Arabidopsis thaliana: one gene and its partners. The protein of the gene in region 1 interacts with the protein of each later gene in a pairwise test. Each region holds a gene or a part of one and is shown on either strand. Other genes may lie near its edges. The genes, in order: WRKY40, WRKY38 and GUN5.

Evidence for each region.
Region 2: the proteins of WRKY40 (region 1) and WRKY38 interact in binary tests that used the Arabidopsis thaliana proteins (3 or more experiments, as listed by UniProt).
Region 3: the proteins of WRKY40 (region 1) and GUN5 interact in a two-hybrid assay, tested with the Arabidopsis thaliana proteins (one study listed by BioGRID).

What each region holds. Positions count from the first base shown.
Region 1 is NC_003070.9:30,381,778-30,386,394, forward strand, and holds WRKY40 (WRKY DNA-binding protein 40), read left to right. Parts: upstream 1-1,783; 5' UTR 1,784-2,056; coding exon 2,057-2,143; intron 2,144-2,553; coding exon 2,554-2,895; intron 2,896-2,990; coding exon 2,991-3,107; intron 3,108-3,216; coding exon 3,217-3,579; 3' UTR 3,580-3,722; downstream 3,723-4,617. Other genes in the region: AT1G80850 (DNA glycosylase superfamily protein), read right to left, coding at 3,830-4,099, 4,194-4,335, 4,425-4,508, 4,606-4,617. UniProt on the Arabidopsis thaliana protein: Transcription factor. Interacts specifically with the W box (5'-(T)TGAC[CT]-3'), a frequently occurring elicitor-responsive cis-acting element.
Region 2 is NC_003076.8:7,494,903-7,498,966, reverse strand, and holds WRKY38 (WRKY DNA-binding protein 38), read left to right. Parts: upstream 1-1,976; 5' UTR 1,977-2,259; coding exon 2,260-2,525; intron 2,526-2,668; coding exon 2,669-2,791; intron 2,792-2,878; coding exon 2,879-3,359; 3' UTR 3,360-3,512; downstream 3,513-4,064. UniProt on the Arabidopsis thaliana protein: Transcription factor. Interacts specifically with the W box (5'-(T)TGAC[CT]-3'), a frequently occurring elicitor-responsive cis-acting element.
Region 3 is NC_003076.8:4,386,658-4,394,592, forward strand, and holds GUN5 (magnesium-chelatase subunit chlH, chloroplast, putative / Mg-protoporphyrin IX chelatase, putative (CHLH)), read right to left. Parts: upstream 5,773-7,935; 5' UTR 5,426-5,772; coding exon 4,021-5,425; intron 3,926-4,020; coding exon 3,843-3,925; intron 3,744-3,842; coding exon 1,941-3,743; intron 1,852-1,940; coding exon 1,375-1,851; coding exon of another isoform or gene 1,371-1,374; intron 1,288-1,370; coding exon 910-1,287; 3' UTR 650-909; downstream 1-649. Other genes in the region: PDAT (phospholipid:diacylglycerol acyltransferase), read left to right, coding at 6,872-7,317.

The DNA of each region.
Region 1 (4,617 bases):
AGATTTTATTATTCACAATTACAAGAATAGGTACAGTCCTGGTTTGTGCTAAACCAAATTCGAATATCAAATATAAATTACTTATAGGTTCGACTGTAAAATGAGATATGAAAGAAAGAAATAATATATGATGATGTAATGCATGAGAAAGTCCAAAATGATCGGCATATGGGATTAAGCGATTCCATATAGTTAAGTCAAGTTACTATTTCAGATAAATGGATAAGTTTGTCGTCTATATGTTCTGTTATCTCCAAACCCAAATCTATAACATTGCGACATTTTTGAATCGTTAACGGCAAAATAAGTGGGGAGGGGGGGGGGAAGGAAAAAAGGAAGGACACTGAGATTTTGATAAAGTTCGGTAGCCAAATTTGTGCATGACTTTTAAGAAAATACGTATGCTGATCCAAAAACAAACAACTAAATAGATTTTAGTTTGAGAAAATCGAAGTAACAAAATTATTATTTAATATATAGTGTGAGAATTTAACAGCTACTAATAATTATCATAACACGAATTAAGTGTAATAGTAATATATGTAGGAAAATGGTTTAGCACCACTCACTTGATTAACTCGACTTAAACCAAATATAAAGTAATATTTATAGATGTAGTTGGTTGTATTTTTGCAAGCTTTGGTACTCGATATCTAAATTTTTAATGGAAAAATTAGTCGAGTGGTAATTCGTTATATATAAGAAAATATTTTGTTTGTAATTGTGCAAACTTTAGCATTGGACATCTAACTATATTCTGAAAAATCAGCGGAATGATAAAAGTTCGGATTTTCCTTCTTTTTATTTAAGTAAACATAATTGGTGTTCTGAAAACCAAAAGAAGGAAGAAGGCAATTAAGATTTGTTAAAGTTCGTCACGATATTGATGTCAAGAAAAAAGGAAAAAAAAAAAAAATCGTCACGATGGTATCGTCAATTTGTCTAGTGGATTTTGAAAAGCCGTGTGGGCTTGACTTTGACCGAACAAGGCACACGTATACATCTAGTACTACTGAAGAAATCTCTCATTAGAACGCAAACCACGTTCCGCACACTCTTAATATACTATTAGTCTATTACTATCACCAACTAGTTGTCATTTTTTTTGTCAAACGTGCTAATTAATTCACAAATAGAAGTATTAAACTTCCTAATTAAGCACGCCTTTACTACATTTCATTATTATTATACATGTAATCAACCATTTCTTTTATCCCACATGTCATTTGTAGTCCTGATTTTATGACTTTATGCATCAAGTTATCTTTTTTTTTGTCACTCCATGCATCAAGTTATCTAAACAACATAATTATTGTCTGAAAAATCTAAGATGATATACAACATATGTATTTAATTACACATTAGGCTTGTTTAACAATTCTTGATTATTTTTACTCTTTTTGGGTGAGTTCTTGATGGATGTCTTGAATTACAAAACTACATATTCTGAAAATATTAACCTTGAGTTTAGGCCGGCTATGCTATAACGAAAAATAAATAAAAGCAACTAACCCGACAGAAATGTCAACCAACTATCCAAAATGAAAAACAAACGTGGAGAGCGTCATATTATTAGTAGGCCAATCACACACCAAATGTTTGTTTAACAAAAAAAATAAGAATGTCAACCAACTATCCAAAATTAAAATCAAGAATACATTTCATATGTTTCCAATATGTTTTTCTTAAACAAAATTGGGACTAAAGATTGGACCAAATACGTGTGCGGGTGGACCCGATAGAAGCCGAGTTGAGTCTAAAGACTAAAAAGTAAACAAAAAATGATAAGACCATCACTTAGTTTATTGCATGAAAATGAAAAGCACATGCTCCTCTCTCTCTCTTCTGCCTCTTTCCATCTAGTTTCCTCTTAAAACTCCATTATATATAGAAACAAAATCTTTTCTCTCTTCAACAATCCCACCATTAAAAAAGAAGAACCCAAGATCGACTCTTACTTCGAATCTCTCTCAACTTTCTTCCTCAGCTTACGGGAACTTCCACACATATACATCCACAAGAACCCATATCGAAGATTCATCCTACATATATTTACATGGATCAGTACTCATCCTCTTTGGTCGATACTTCATTAGATCTCACTATTGGCGTTACTCGTATGCGAGTTGAAGAAGATCCACCGGTACGCTTCTCTCAGATTCTTCATTCTCCACATGTTCAGAAATTTTCAATTATCATGGAGCTTTTTAATCTAGTATCTCATCATTATGTATTATACACTTACATTTTTCAATTCGGTTGGTTTTGAAAATATATAAACTAACTCAACTATCCATAGACATTTTTTTCAGATGTATAATCTATAAACATAGATATTTTCTTATACTTCACAAATATTTTTATATATAATTGGCATAAACTTTAACAACAAGAAAAATTCGTTAGTAATTCATGTGGTGGGTTCTTGAAATATAGATGTAACGCTAGATCATAAAATCATATTAAACTTATAGTATGAAGAAAATAATATGGTTACTAACTTCATGCAATATATATATATATATATATATATATATAAATGATAAATTGCAGACAAGTGCTTTGGTGGAAGAATTAAACCGAGTTAGTGCTGAGAACAAGAAGCTCTCGGAGATGCTAACTTTGATGTGTGACAACTACAACGTCTTGAGGAAGCAACTTATGGAATATGTTAACAAGAGCAACATAACCGAGAGGGATCAAATCAGCCCTCCCAAGAAACGCAAATCCCCGGCGAGAGAGGACGCATTCAGCTGCGCGGTTATTGGCGGAGTGTCGGAGAGTAGCTCAACGGATCAAGATGAGTATTTGTGTAAGAAGCAGAGAGAAGAGACTGTCGTGAAGGAGAAAGTCTCAAGGGTCTATTACAAGACCGAAGCTTCTGACACTACCCTCGTAAGCATTCATGAAAATGATCAAACTTGGTATCTATCTATCTTTAGAAACTTTATTTTATATGGTTTACTGATTGTAGAAGTTGTTTCTTATAGGTTGTGAAAGATGGGTATCAATGGAGGAAATATGGACAGAAAGTGACTAGAGACAATCCATCTCCAAGAGCTTACTTCAAATGTGCTTGTGCTCCAAGCTGTTCTGTCAAAAAGAAGGTAATTGATAAAGAAAAAAAACTGACTCTCGCTTAAAATATGAATTGGCATAATACAAATTTGATAGACTTATTAATCTGATTTTGATCCTGTGTTTGTTTCTATTCAGGTTCAGAGAAGTGTGGAGGATCAGTCCGTGTTAGTTGCAACTTATGAGGGTGAACACAACCATCCAATGCCATCGCAGATCGATTCAAACAATGGCTTAAACCGCCACATCTCTCATGGTGGTTCAGCTTCAACACCCGTTGCAGCAAACAGAAGAAGTAGCTTGACTGTGCCGGTGACTACCGTAGATATGATTGAATCGAAGAAAGTGACGAGCCCAACGTCAAGAATCGATTTTCCCCAAGTTCAGAAACTTTTGGTGGAGCAAATGGCTTCTTCCTTAACCAAAGATCCTAACTTTACAGCAGCTTTAGCAGCAGCTGTTACCGGAAAATTGTATCAACAGAATCATACCGAGAAATAGTTTAGCTTCAAATTCCGTTAGAGTTTTTAGATTTGAATTTGTCATGAGTAAGAGAAAGAGAGTAGATTATAATCCATTGTGATACTGAAAATGTAACATGTAATCGTTTTTCATACAATCTCCAATACATTCGGCTTTAGAAACTCCTCCTAGTTTGACAACAACAACAAAAATATCTGTACAAATGCAAACACAGCACAACAGCATCCTAAGCAGCACAGAGTTAAAACTATTCTCTCTTGGTTTTTCTTTAATTACCAGTCTCGTCCTTTGTCATGCAGTCATGGTGTCTGAAGCAGCAAGTGAGATGGTCGTTTGTGAGACCAGCTGTTTGCATGAACGAGTAAATAACCGTTGGACTTACACTGCGAAAACCTCTGCGTACAAGATCTTTGCTTATCAACTCGGCTTTCGAAGTCTTCACAGGGACTTGACGTGGGTACCGGAATTGGCTCTGAGTAGGTTTCTGGTTAACGAAGTTCCAAATGTACTTGTCAAATGATCCAAATGCACCTATTATCTGCATTTGAGAAAACCAATAACAGTAAGAAAAAAAAAGGTAATGTTGTTAAGAAACACAGAAACTATGATCAGGCTTATAGGTGATATATTACCTTGCAAACTTGGTTAGCATTCTCGAGGATTGACCGTAGCTTTTGCTCTGATAGTAACGTGGTGGCAGCAATCTCAGGGGATGTTATCTTTTTATTTGTTAATTCAGATATTGCAATTGGATCAAAGTCCATGAAAACCTCCCTGTTTAACACAAGGCAAAAGCATTTCGAGATTCGAGCTCATAAGGAGAAGTCAGAAGATGTAACCACAACAGCGTTGGTACTAGTTACCTGAATAGTTGTCTTTTGGAAAGAATGTCTTTCCAAGATAGTTCAGCAAGAGCACCAGACAAGCTTAATAACTCGAAAAGTCTCCTGCAAACAATTCACTGAATAAGAGAGTGTATAGTCCAAAAAAGCATCCCTCTGGTCAGTAAAACATAAGTCAGTATAAAGAGAAAATATCACGTACTTGTCATCATGG
Region 2 (4,064 bases), on another chromosome or scaffold:
ATAAAGATAAGTTTTAAAGTTCTGTAGGATTATTGAAAATGGGGAATTTTGTTGAAGTCGTCGTCAGATTAAAGAAGACATGGAAGCTACGTTCCAACTACTTGGTTTAATTAGCTAATAAATAAAATTATTAAAAAAATGTATCACCATTATTGTCATGTAAGTCATGTTCACATTCACTTTCCTTTCGCACCATAAAATAATGTGACTTGACCCATAGCTTTGCTTGACTTGTACATATGTGACCCCTTACTCAATATAGTACTAATACCTATACAATATTTAACAATTTGCTAATAACAAGAACAAAATACATGTGGGCAACGTTTCACAGATCAGATCAAAGTCACGTGCGAAAGTTTATATATATATATATATATATATATATATATATATATATCTCTTATGTGTTGATATCTATCAATTTACATTAACCACCCGCAGAAGAAGATAGGGTTGTTAAATTGATGGGTAGATAGAACTTAACATTCTTTACAAACTTTGTAATTTGTTGTATAGTTTCATGAATGGTGTTAATTCATGGCCTGAAAATACCATCGATGTATACAATCTGATAAGGATAAATTGTTTTGGATTGACCATCTATTAGTTTTAAAATATGATTGTATAACTTGGATTGGTTAGCTTTCAGATTATACTATATATTCAAAACAAGCTTTTGTACGTATATTATATCATTTTATCCGCTTAAAATGTAATTACTAATTTTTCTTTCATATAAGATTCAAGTTTACCTAAAGAAAAAGGATTCAAGATTACCAGTTATCTTTTGCAAAGCTTATTAATTATAAATTCTTAAAATTTTAGATTAAATTAAAATATGGACCGAGTAGCCAACGAATGAATCTCACATCACGGCATAGTTGACTAGTTGTTGTTAGTATATAATATAATCAACATTGCTGCTTCGTTCTGACGTCAATCTGCTGAATCAGCCCCTTCAACAAAAACTACGTCATGGGGCTGACGTCGAGTGTCCGACGAAACTAATGCCGTTTTCATTGGTGCATTAGTCGCCACTCGCCAGCTACATCGCAATTATTTCTCTCTTTAAGCGTTGAAAAATTGTCTAGATCTTACTTGTTAATGTTATTCTATTACCTAATAATTATCTTTTGTCTGGTCTAAATACTTACATTTTTATTTAAAATCTGAACCAAAACTCACCAAAAAATTAGATAATTTTACCATTAAAGATATCCACGACTAGTGGAGTATTTTCATTACAAAAAAATGAATTGATCATATCATATGTGTTCGAAGCTTATTATATTGAGCAAAAAAACATTATTTGTACACGTTTCATCTTTGATGAGGTAAACATTGCGATGGACGTGTAAAATATGTTATACTTTTTTTTTTTGTGAACATCCAATCTATTACATACATTTGTTTTTTTTTGTCATATGAACGTAAAATATATTATTTTCAAAACTCTATATTATTAGTTACCGTATAAATTATAATTAAAACCACCTATCAAAATATTAAATAAAAAATATTTAACGATATACAATCAACAAAATTAAGCAAACAAATTTATTCTTAAATTTCATCTGCTATATATTTTCAAAAAAAAAATAAAAAAAATTGCGACACATATTGAAATGGAAAGATTACAAAAGAAAATTTTAAAATCATTGCTAATTTGGGGTTTATCATAGCTCATATCTCTCTCTAATATATCTGACTTTGTAGAACACAGTTTTCTATTAGATTCCTCCTATCTTGAAACCTTTTAGTGTTCTGAAAGGAGTAGTTTTTAATTTTTAATCTTTAATTATTAAGCGAACCGCGTAGATTAGTGTAATAAGAGAAACAGATAAATTCTGAAACAATTAAAAACAGATTGTATATAATTAAGTGAGCCGCGTACTGGGAAAGGTATATAAAATAAACTCTGTTTCCTATACATCATGACAGATCATATGCTAATGTCAACACCTAATCTATCTTTTTGTCTCTCTTTATTTAGATTCACGCATATAAGTCTAGCAGAGCACATGTCCTATATCGAAATTATAATTTATCATTGGCTTCTTAAAATATAACCTAGTGTATGTAAATTATATTTGGTAAACCCAAATTGGCAAAGTCATTTGGGAACGTGTATGTACGACTAGTCCTATAAATTCTGATCTCCCTATCCGTTCAAAAGTTTATAGCACAGAGAAGAGACTTGAGAAAAAGAAAACAAACAAGAAACACATACACACACACACAAGTTCACTATACTCTATGGAAATGAACTCCCCACACGAAAAGGCGGTGCAAGCTATCCGTTATGGCCATAGCTGCGCCATGCGGTTGAAGAGGCGGCTCAACCATCCAATGGCTGATGGTGGACCGCTTTCAAGTTATGATCTTGCTAAATCGATCGTTGAAAGTTTTTCCAATGCCATTTCAATCTTATCTGCTAAACCAGAAACCGAAGATGATCAGTTTTCTGATTTATCTTCTAGGGATTCTTCTCCTCCTCCACAGGGGAGCCCCTCCAAGAAAAGGTATACACTTATGAGTTTGTTTTCTTTTTTGAGTTTGTTTTTGTTTTTCCAAATGAAACCACAATTCTTAATATAAGTATTTTTTTTCTTAGGAGTATATGTTGATTTTAATGCTAATATTTTGATAATACTCATGTTTGCAGAAAGATTGATAGTACAAATTCAAGTGAGAATTGGAGGGACGATTCACCGGATCCGATTTACTACGACGGGTATCTTTGGAGGAAATATGGTCAAAAGAGTATAAAAAAATCTAATCACCAAAGGTAAGAAATAGTATAGCTAATCATATTTCATCATAATTATTTCTATCCCGATCACTCATACTAATTGGTGTATGATGATGGTAACAGGAGTTACTATAGATGTTCTTACAACAAAGATCATAACTGCGAAGCAAGAAAGCATGAACAAAAGATCAAAGACAATCCTCCGGTTTACCGAACCACTTACTTTGGCCACCACACTTGCAAAACCGAACATAATCTAGATGCCATTTTTATTGCCGGACAAGATCCCCTAGATGACTTTAAAAGTACCCAAATGATCCGATTCGGAAAAGATCAGGATCAGGAGAAGGAAAGCCGCTCGAACGGTTTCTCCTTATCGGTTAAGCATGAAGAAGATATCATCAAAGAGCAAGCTATAGATCAGTACCGTGAGATAACCAGTAATGACCAAGATTGTCAAGATGTTATAGAAGAATATCTATCATCACCATCAGGCTCTTATCCTCCTTCATCGTCATCTGGCAGTGAAAGTGCTGACTTTAATTCTGATTTGTTATTTGACAACCCAGACTCGTGGGATCGTTATGATCAGTTTTACTTTTGATTGCACTAGATTTTTCAGCTAAAACTATTTAATAATGTTTTCCTTTTTATGAGATTGTATATATTTGAGAATTGTGACTATTTAAGTATTTATGTTATTGATTAGATAATCCGAGAACAATATTTATATTCACCCCTAAGAGTTTATTTCCGGCCAATAAAACTCTATCATCTAATAAATAAATTAAAAATTCATTTGATTATAAAATATAAATTTCAACCACTTTTTGTGTAAACCTAAATCGATCTATAATCTCGTTTAATTATAAAATCTAAACTCTCATTCATCTTTAAAAGCTCAAAACCGACATTTTAACCTTGTTTAATTGTAAAATATAAATTCTAACCATTCTTTCTAATCCCAAACTCACATTTAACCTCGTTTAATTGTAAAATCTAAATATGTTTATAAACCAAACCCAACATTTAATTTGACCTCGTTTATTTACAAACTAAACCATAATTCTCCTTTACAAACTCATACCAACATTTAACCTCGTTTAGTTTTAACGTCTATAATCCTAACCATTTTTTCTAAACCCAAATTGATATATTTAACCTCGTTTAAAAATGTAAAATGTAAACCTTTTTATAAACTCATACCAACAATTAACCTCATCTAGTTGAAAAAAATCTAAACTCGTTTATAAACTCAAACCTATATTTTATCTTGTTTAATTATTAAATTTTAATCTTAACTATTTTC
Region 3 (7,935 bases), on another chromosome or scaffold:
TAAACATTCCTATGTATTGTTTCTTGGAGTCCAGTTGTACAGCATTTTATTTATACTATATGGTCTATTCATATATGGCCAAGCAATTTCTTCTCTATGTCATTTAAATAAACTTTTCCAAGGATGTTTTGTTCCATATTGTTTGGTTTCAGAGGCTCAAAGACTTATTGACTTTCTTGAGCTTAAACCTTAGCAAACCAAGACTGAAGTAGTTTGATGCAAAACAGAGTCCAACACATGGAAATGAAACATAATATATGCAGAGAAAAGAACAGAGACTTTGATAGGAGAAAGGTGAGAAAGGAAGAGAGAACACACATAATATTTATGCTAAAGTCTGGGCCGAGTCACATCTCGGAATCCACTAGAATAAGCAAGTTACAAGAGGGAATTCCACAGAGAAAGAGTCTCACACTTGAGATCTCTTCTCTGTTACACTCTCAAGAGAAAAACCAAAGATTACACCTTTTTAATGGCTATCTCTCTCTCTTGCTTGCTTTCTACATTGTATCTCTCTCTTGCTCATTTCCCTTTGCCACGTTCACAGCATAGCTTCATCTTATATATACATGTGAGAACACCTTAGATCTAGTGCTTCTCCAAAACGCTCCACTTTGAATTCACATAAAGACAAATTGTCCTTTCTTGGCGCAAAAGCATGACTCAACCATAGTTTGTTTACACTTAACTATAGTTTCATTTTCTTCGCATATAAAATCCACACATATGAATATGATATAAGAAATGGAGATGAAAGAAGAAGCTCCACAACATTCATATAAAGTCAGAAAATGTCAGCCAAAACATTCTCTTATTCACAGAGAGATGATGTCGTTTGGTAGAATACTGTAATACACAAAAATAAAGTTTTAAGTTCATTTACAAGAAGAAAGGCTTATATCCCATTGTTTATCGATCGATCCCTTCGATCTTGTCTTCCACCTGCGAGTACAATTCCTTGAGCTTCTCTATGTTTTCAGCGGAAGTGTCCCAGTAGCCACGACCATTGGCCTCCAAGAAAGTCTGAAGCATTTTCCTGAAGGAGTTGGGATTGGTGTTCATGAGACGGTTCAGCATCTCCTCGTCTTGGATGAAAGTTGAGTTGGCCTCCTCGTAGACCCAATTGTCTACTTGACCTGACGTTGCACTCCATCCCACAGTGTTGGACAGTCTCTTCTCTATCTCACGAACTCCTTCATATCCACTTGACATCATTCCTTCGTACCACTTTGGATTCAGCAGCTTTGTTCTTGCGTCCAGCCTCACTGTCTCAGATAGTGTCCTCACCTGCCAGATTCAACAAATACCTTAAGGAATGTGTTCTTGCAAGGTAAAACTGATCCCATATATGAACTACAAAGAAAATTCACTCACCTGCGCGTTTGCAGTTGTAGTGTCAGCAATGTAAGAGCTTGGTTTCTTCTTATCCTTCCTCAAACTCTGAACTAGATTTGTAGGGTCAGAATCGAAGTAGTGGCTCACATCAGTCAAAGAAATCTCTGAAGAATCCAGGTTCTGGAAGGTGACTTCTGCAGTGCTAAGAGCCATCTCAAAGACCTGCTTCTTCTCAGCCATTCCTGCTCCAGGAGCATCACTATCAAACGCAAACGATTTGCGGCTCAAGTACATGTCCTGAAGCTGTTTCTCATCGTTCCATGACGAGTTTTCAACAGCAAGACTGATGTTGGCTGAGTATGACCCTGAAGCGTTTGAGAAAACTCTTGTCGCTGCCTCTCTAATATCAATGCCAAGCGCCTCTGCTTGTTCCAACGCGTGTTTCCTTACAAAATTTTGCTCTACAGGCTCATCTAGCTCCGCCACCATCTTGATAGCTCGGTCAAGAAGGTTCATCTGTCAAGATAATTCAAGGAAGAAACACCATGAGAGACCAACCAACAAGAATCTAAATGAAAGAAGAGAGAAAGCTTTTATCTGGTTACCTGGTTGATAAAGAGATCACGGAAGACCCCTGAGCAGTTAACAACTACATCGATCCTCGGCCTTCCTAGTTCTTCTAAGCTCACAGGCTCGACACGGTTCACTCTTCCAAAAGTATCAGCAATTGGTCTCACACCAATCATCCAAAGAACCTGCCCAAGAGACTCCCCATATGTTTTGATGTTGTCAGTTCCCCAAAGAACAAGCGCGATTGTCTCGGGATATTTCCCTTCGTTTTCGAGCTTCTGTCTCTCTACCAACCTCTCAACCACAATCTTGGCACTTGCCATTGCTGCTGTTGTGGGAATAGCCTGAGGATCTAAGGCATGGATGTTTTTACCGGTTGGTAAGACCTTTGGGTTTCTGATGGGATCACCTCCGGGGCCAGGCTCGACGTACTTGCCTTCCAAAGCTTGCATTAGACTCCCTAGTTCGTTGTCCATGACCACCAACTTCAGGCACTCTCCAAGGAAACCAAACACTGTTCTGAGCTTATCTCTGTTCGCCCTGTAGAACTTGGTGTTGGACAAATACTCAACCCATGGCTCATTGATTCCAAACCCAAGAAGCGAGGTAAGCTTGTCAGACACATCCACCACCTGTCCTTTGCTATTTGTTGTTTTTTCCACAAAGGCGGAAACAGCGCCACGTGAGGCATCAGTGATCTCTTTGAGAAGCTCTACATCGCTCAAGATACCCTTGTCGCTTCCTCTGTAAACATCCTCTATCTCCCTTCCAACACACTCAGCTAATATAGAAGGAAGAGCTGAAATCTCATCCTCCGGACGATCTAGAGCAGCAATGTTGACCAGTGTGGCCACAGCTTCCATGGCGGATGGAGGCTCTCCAATGACGTGAAGCCCGCACGGCAAAAGCCTTGATTCAATCTCCATAATCTTGGAATAAACTTTCCCAACCACAGAATCTCTGTCTTTAGGTGACAACTCCAAGCCTTCATCTGGAAGATCCACATCCTTATCAAGATTACATTGCTTAGCTGTGCTGATGATGGAACTGACGATCTGTGGACCTCTCCCCGTGTCCTTCAGAGACTGATAGGACGATATCAGCTCACTCAACTGCTTCAGCCCTTTGTATAGACCAGCATTCTCAGCTGGAGGAGTCAAATAACTGATGGTGTTGGCATAACTTCTCCTCTTTGCAATGGTAGCTTCAGAGGGATTGTTAGCTGCATAATAGTAGACATTGGGAATGTTCCCGATAAGACTGTCGGGAAAACAAGCATCACTCATTCCCACTTGCTTCCCGGGCATAAACTCGAGAGAACCATGTGTTCCAAAATGAAGAACAGCATCAGCTTTGAAGATCTTTTCTACATAAGAGTAGTAAGCAGCAAAACCGTGATGAGGACTTGCTGACTTGGAGAAAAGCAGCCTCATGGGATCACCTTCATACCCAAATGTTGGTTGCACTCCGATGAAAACATTACCGTACGCTTTTCCATAGACAAGAAGGTTCTCTCCATCTGAGTTAAGGTTCCCCGGAGGTTTCCCCCAGTTTTCTTCCAGGGCATTTGCATAAGGAGTGAGGTCTTGGTACTCACGGACTCCCATTTTGTAAGCTACATTGAGGTTAGGGCTGCTGAACTGAGCCTCCTTGTCATGAATGATTTCTTCAATAAGAGTCTCTGCATTCTCAGGAAGGCCTTCAACATTGTAGCCATCTCTCTTGAGGTCTCTTAACACCGAGAAGATGGAAGCAAACACATTGAGGTAAGCTGCAGTCCCTACATTACCTTTATCAGGTGGGAAACTGAAAACAGTGATTGCCAGCTTCTTCTCTGCCTGCAATGAGCCAGAGTTGATTCATGAGAACATACATTACATTCTTGAGAAAGTCATGAAGGAATGTGATTTCACTAAGGATGAGTGGTAATACAATACCTTAGTTTTTCTTTTGAGCTCACCCCATCGAATCGCTCTGATGCAGAGTTGCTCCACTCTCTTGTGGAGAGCATGTGACTTCCCTGCAGCAATTGGTAAACCACCTCCATAAGAAAACATTCCCACTCTTGCGTAATGACAATCATGAAAAATGCAATATGGTCATAAGTGGACTAACCTGTTCTAGGGTCACGACCAGCGAAAACGATTGGCTCCATCGCTCCATCAAGCTCAGGGAGGGCAACCTGCAGAGCCACCTGGATGGGATGCAGACCAAGTGTGCTGTTTAGCCATTCCTCTGTCGTCTGGAACACCAGTGGTACTGCCACAAGGTAAGGAACATCGAGCTTTTTCAGGGCTTCGATAGCCCTGGGATGATCCTGCCTTGCAGGTCCACCAACAAGAGCAAAACCAGTCAAGGAGACAGCAGAGTTTACGATGGGCTGTTTCGACACCGGGTCTACGAAATATTTCTCTACTGGACCAGAGAAATCCAACCCTCCTGCGAATATAGGAACGACCTTAGCACCTCTAGCCTCAAGCTCCATGATAACAGCCACATAGTGACTATCATCACCAGTCACAATGTGACTCCTCTGCAAGACTAAACCGACAACCGTTGCATCTTTCCTCTTGAGTGAGTCATTGGTGTCCCTTCTAGTGTCATACCAGTTCCAGTACTCCTTCACATCATCGTACATGGTTGGAGCAAGTGGATGCCAAATTCCAGTATCCAAGAACAAAACCGGATCCGAATACTCGATTTTGACACCTTTCAAAGCCGGAACATAAGATCCAGAAATCATCTTAACAAAATTCTGAAGATTATCAGGAGAGCCTCCAAGCCAAAACTGTAAACTCAAGATGTAGAGACGAGCATCTTGAGCCTTGTCACTAGGTAAGTACTTCAAAACCTTAGGCAAAGTCCTAACAAGCTTCAACATACTATCGGCAAAACCAGCAGAGCCTTGTTTCTTCCTCTTGAAGAGTTGGAAAAACGGAGACTTTGACTGACCCAATTGAGACATACTAAAAGATCCAAGCTTGTTCAGTCTCATTACCTCAGGCATTGAAGGGAAGACAAGAACTGCGTCCATCCTGTCTCTCTCCTTCTCCACCGCATCCTTAACTTTAATCGCCAATTCCTCGACGAAGATCAGAGAACCAATGAAGATGTTGGCGTCTTTAAGGTCTTCGCAGAAGTTGTTGTAAGTGTTCTTGTCTCTAAGCTCCTCGACCAAGTATCCAACCACTTCGTAGGATGCGAATCTCGAAGTCTTGTTGAGAGATTGCACGGCTTCACTGAGAGAAGACTGGTACTGAGCCTCGAGGACGACGTAGACGATTTTCACCGTCGGAACGTTGTCTCTCTTGATCGGAACTATACGACGGACCTCCGGGTTCGTCTGTGTGAAGAGGCCGTTTCCAGATACAGCAGATTTCACCTTGAAGAAAGATTTGGCTGGTTTGGTTGATCTGTGTTTCTTCCGGAGGAAAGAATGTTTGGTACTGTTAGTGAGCGAAGAGAGATGCTCTGCTTTAGAAGTGGATAGAGTGAATGGAGAATACACAAGCGAAGCCATTTTGCGGCTGCTGGATTCTCCAAACGTTGAATTCGAAGAGGAGAGGATAGGAGAAGAGATGAATCGTTTTTTGTTGGTTGTCTCTTACACTTTTTGAGCTCCAAGTGGGAGTTTATGATTCTCTCATCGGTAAACGCTTCGGACCAAGGAACTAAAAAAGAAGCGTTGGTTTTGAAGGTAAGTGGTGAGAGGGAAGGACACGTGGACGAATAGTTACGGAAGAAGGGAGAGTCTACTTGTGAGGTTGAGTTTTGTCGGATGTATATCCGCTTGGGACAATGAGATGGACTTTGCTGGCCTCTGATTGGCTCATTGAGATTTCTATTCATATTTTCATGGTTTGGGAGTGTGGATATTGAGTGTCTTATTTTCTTTACTTATTTGACAAGTATTTTTATGTTGCTCTCTTGAAGATCGTATTTGCGGTTTCAGCCATGTAAAAGATTCTTTTCCGATGACGACACTTTTACTAGGCATATTCGTCGGGTAGCCGGTTTAATCCGGTCTAGATTTTGTATAATTTTTGGTTCAGCTAGGTCTGGTTTGATATTTTTCTACTTATTTCTTAAAAACTGGCTTTAATCTTTTAAGGTAAACTCAGGATTTTTCTTTGAAAACGAAATTTGAAATATCAGACTCATAACAATTGTAACAACAAATGTAAAAGTTAAAACACTCTAAAATGTACTCAAAATTTTGATCATCATCATCACTATTTTTTTTATAATAAATGGATGTAAAAACTTATCATGTTTCAATATTTAAAACTTTTTTTTTTTTCAATATTTAAAACTTACATAAAATATATAATTAAAAGAAAGTTTATGAATTAGAATATTAAGTTATATGTAATTAAATGGAGCAATACATGTAGCCTACTAGTATTGTTGTTGCATGAGTTGCATCATATTCGAAGATATACAATATGTTTTTTTGATATAAGAGTACCGCTTCATTCTCTTTTTTTTTTTTGTCATTTCCCAAGTGTAATATTGTTATTAATACATGGGCTATACTAAAAGCCCCACGAAAAGTTTACTGAACTATTTGAGGCCCAACAAGAGCCTATCGGATTAACGCCTACTGCAGAAGAAAATCTGTCTGCACTCCACCCAAGAAAACGCAGACTAATTAATGAAATCAACGAAACGGATAGGTCGGGTCTAAGGTTGACCATGAACCGCAACCTGAACCAGGAGCAAAGTGGTCAAGTTTTGCCATCCGGTCCGAGTCCCTTGGAGGAATAATACCAGAACAGAAAAAAACAGAAAAGTCGACAATAAACAAAAGAGACAAATTTGATTTGATTGGTTCCAGAAATTCGCAGAGAAACAGCTCTTTGTCTCTCTCGACTGATCTAACAATCCCTAATCTGTGTTCTAAATTCCTGGACGAGATTTGACAAAGTCCGTATAGCTTAACCTGGTTTAATTTCAAGTGACAGATATGCCCCTTATTCATCGGAAAAAGCCGACGGAGAAACCATCGACGCCGCCATCTGAAGAGGTGGTGCACGATGAGGATTCGCAAAAGAAACCACACGAATCTTCCAAATCCCACCATAAGAAATCGAACGGAGGAGGGAAGTGGTCGTGCATCGATTCTTGTTGTTGGTTCATTGGGTGTGTGTGTGTAACCTGGTGGTTTCTTCTCTTCCTTTACAACGCAATGCCTGCGAGCTTCCCTCAGTATGTAACGGAGCGAATCACGGGTCCTTTGCCTGACCCGCCCGGTGTTAAGCTCAAAAAAGAAGGTCTTAAGGCGAAACATCCTGTTGTCTTCATTCCTGGGATTGTCACCGGTGGGCTCGAGCTTTGGGAAGGCAAACAATGCGCTGATGGTTTATTTAGAAAACGTTTGTGGGGTGGAACTTTTGGTGAAGTCTACAAAAGGTGAGCTCAACAATTCTCACTCTTCCTTTATATTGGGATTTGGATTGGATCTGATGAGATCACGCACTTGTTGCTTCTTCAACATCACTCAAACTTTAATTCCATGTTTGTCTGTCTTACTCTTTACTTTTTTTTTTTTTTGATGTGAAACGCTATTTTCTTAAGAGACTATTTCTGTATGTGTAAGGTAAGCGTTCCAAGGACGTAATTGGCTTGGACTATTTCTGTTTGATTGTTAACTTTAGGATATAAAATAGCTGCCTTGGAATTTCAAGTCATCTTATTGCCAAATCTGTTGCTAGACATGCCCTAGAGTCCGTTCATAACAAGTTACTTCCTTTACTGTCGTTGCGTGTAGATTTAGCTTTGTGTAGCGTATAATGAAGTAGTGTTTTATGTTTTGTTGGGAATAGAGAAGTTCTAACTACATCTGTGGAAAGTGTGTTCAGGCTGTGATAGAGGACTGTTGCTTTATTATTCAACTATGTATATGTGTAATTAAAGCTAGTTCCTTTTTGATCTTTCAGCTCAATGTGCTTTTCTCAATTTTTTTCTCAATTTCAAAGTTTCACATCGAGTTTATTCACATGTCTTGAATTTCGTCCATCCTCGTTCTGT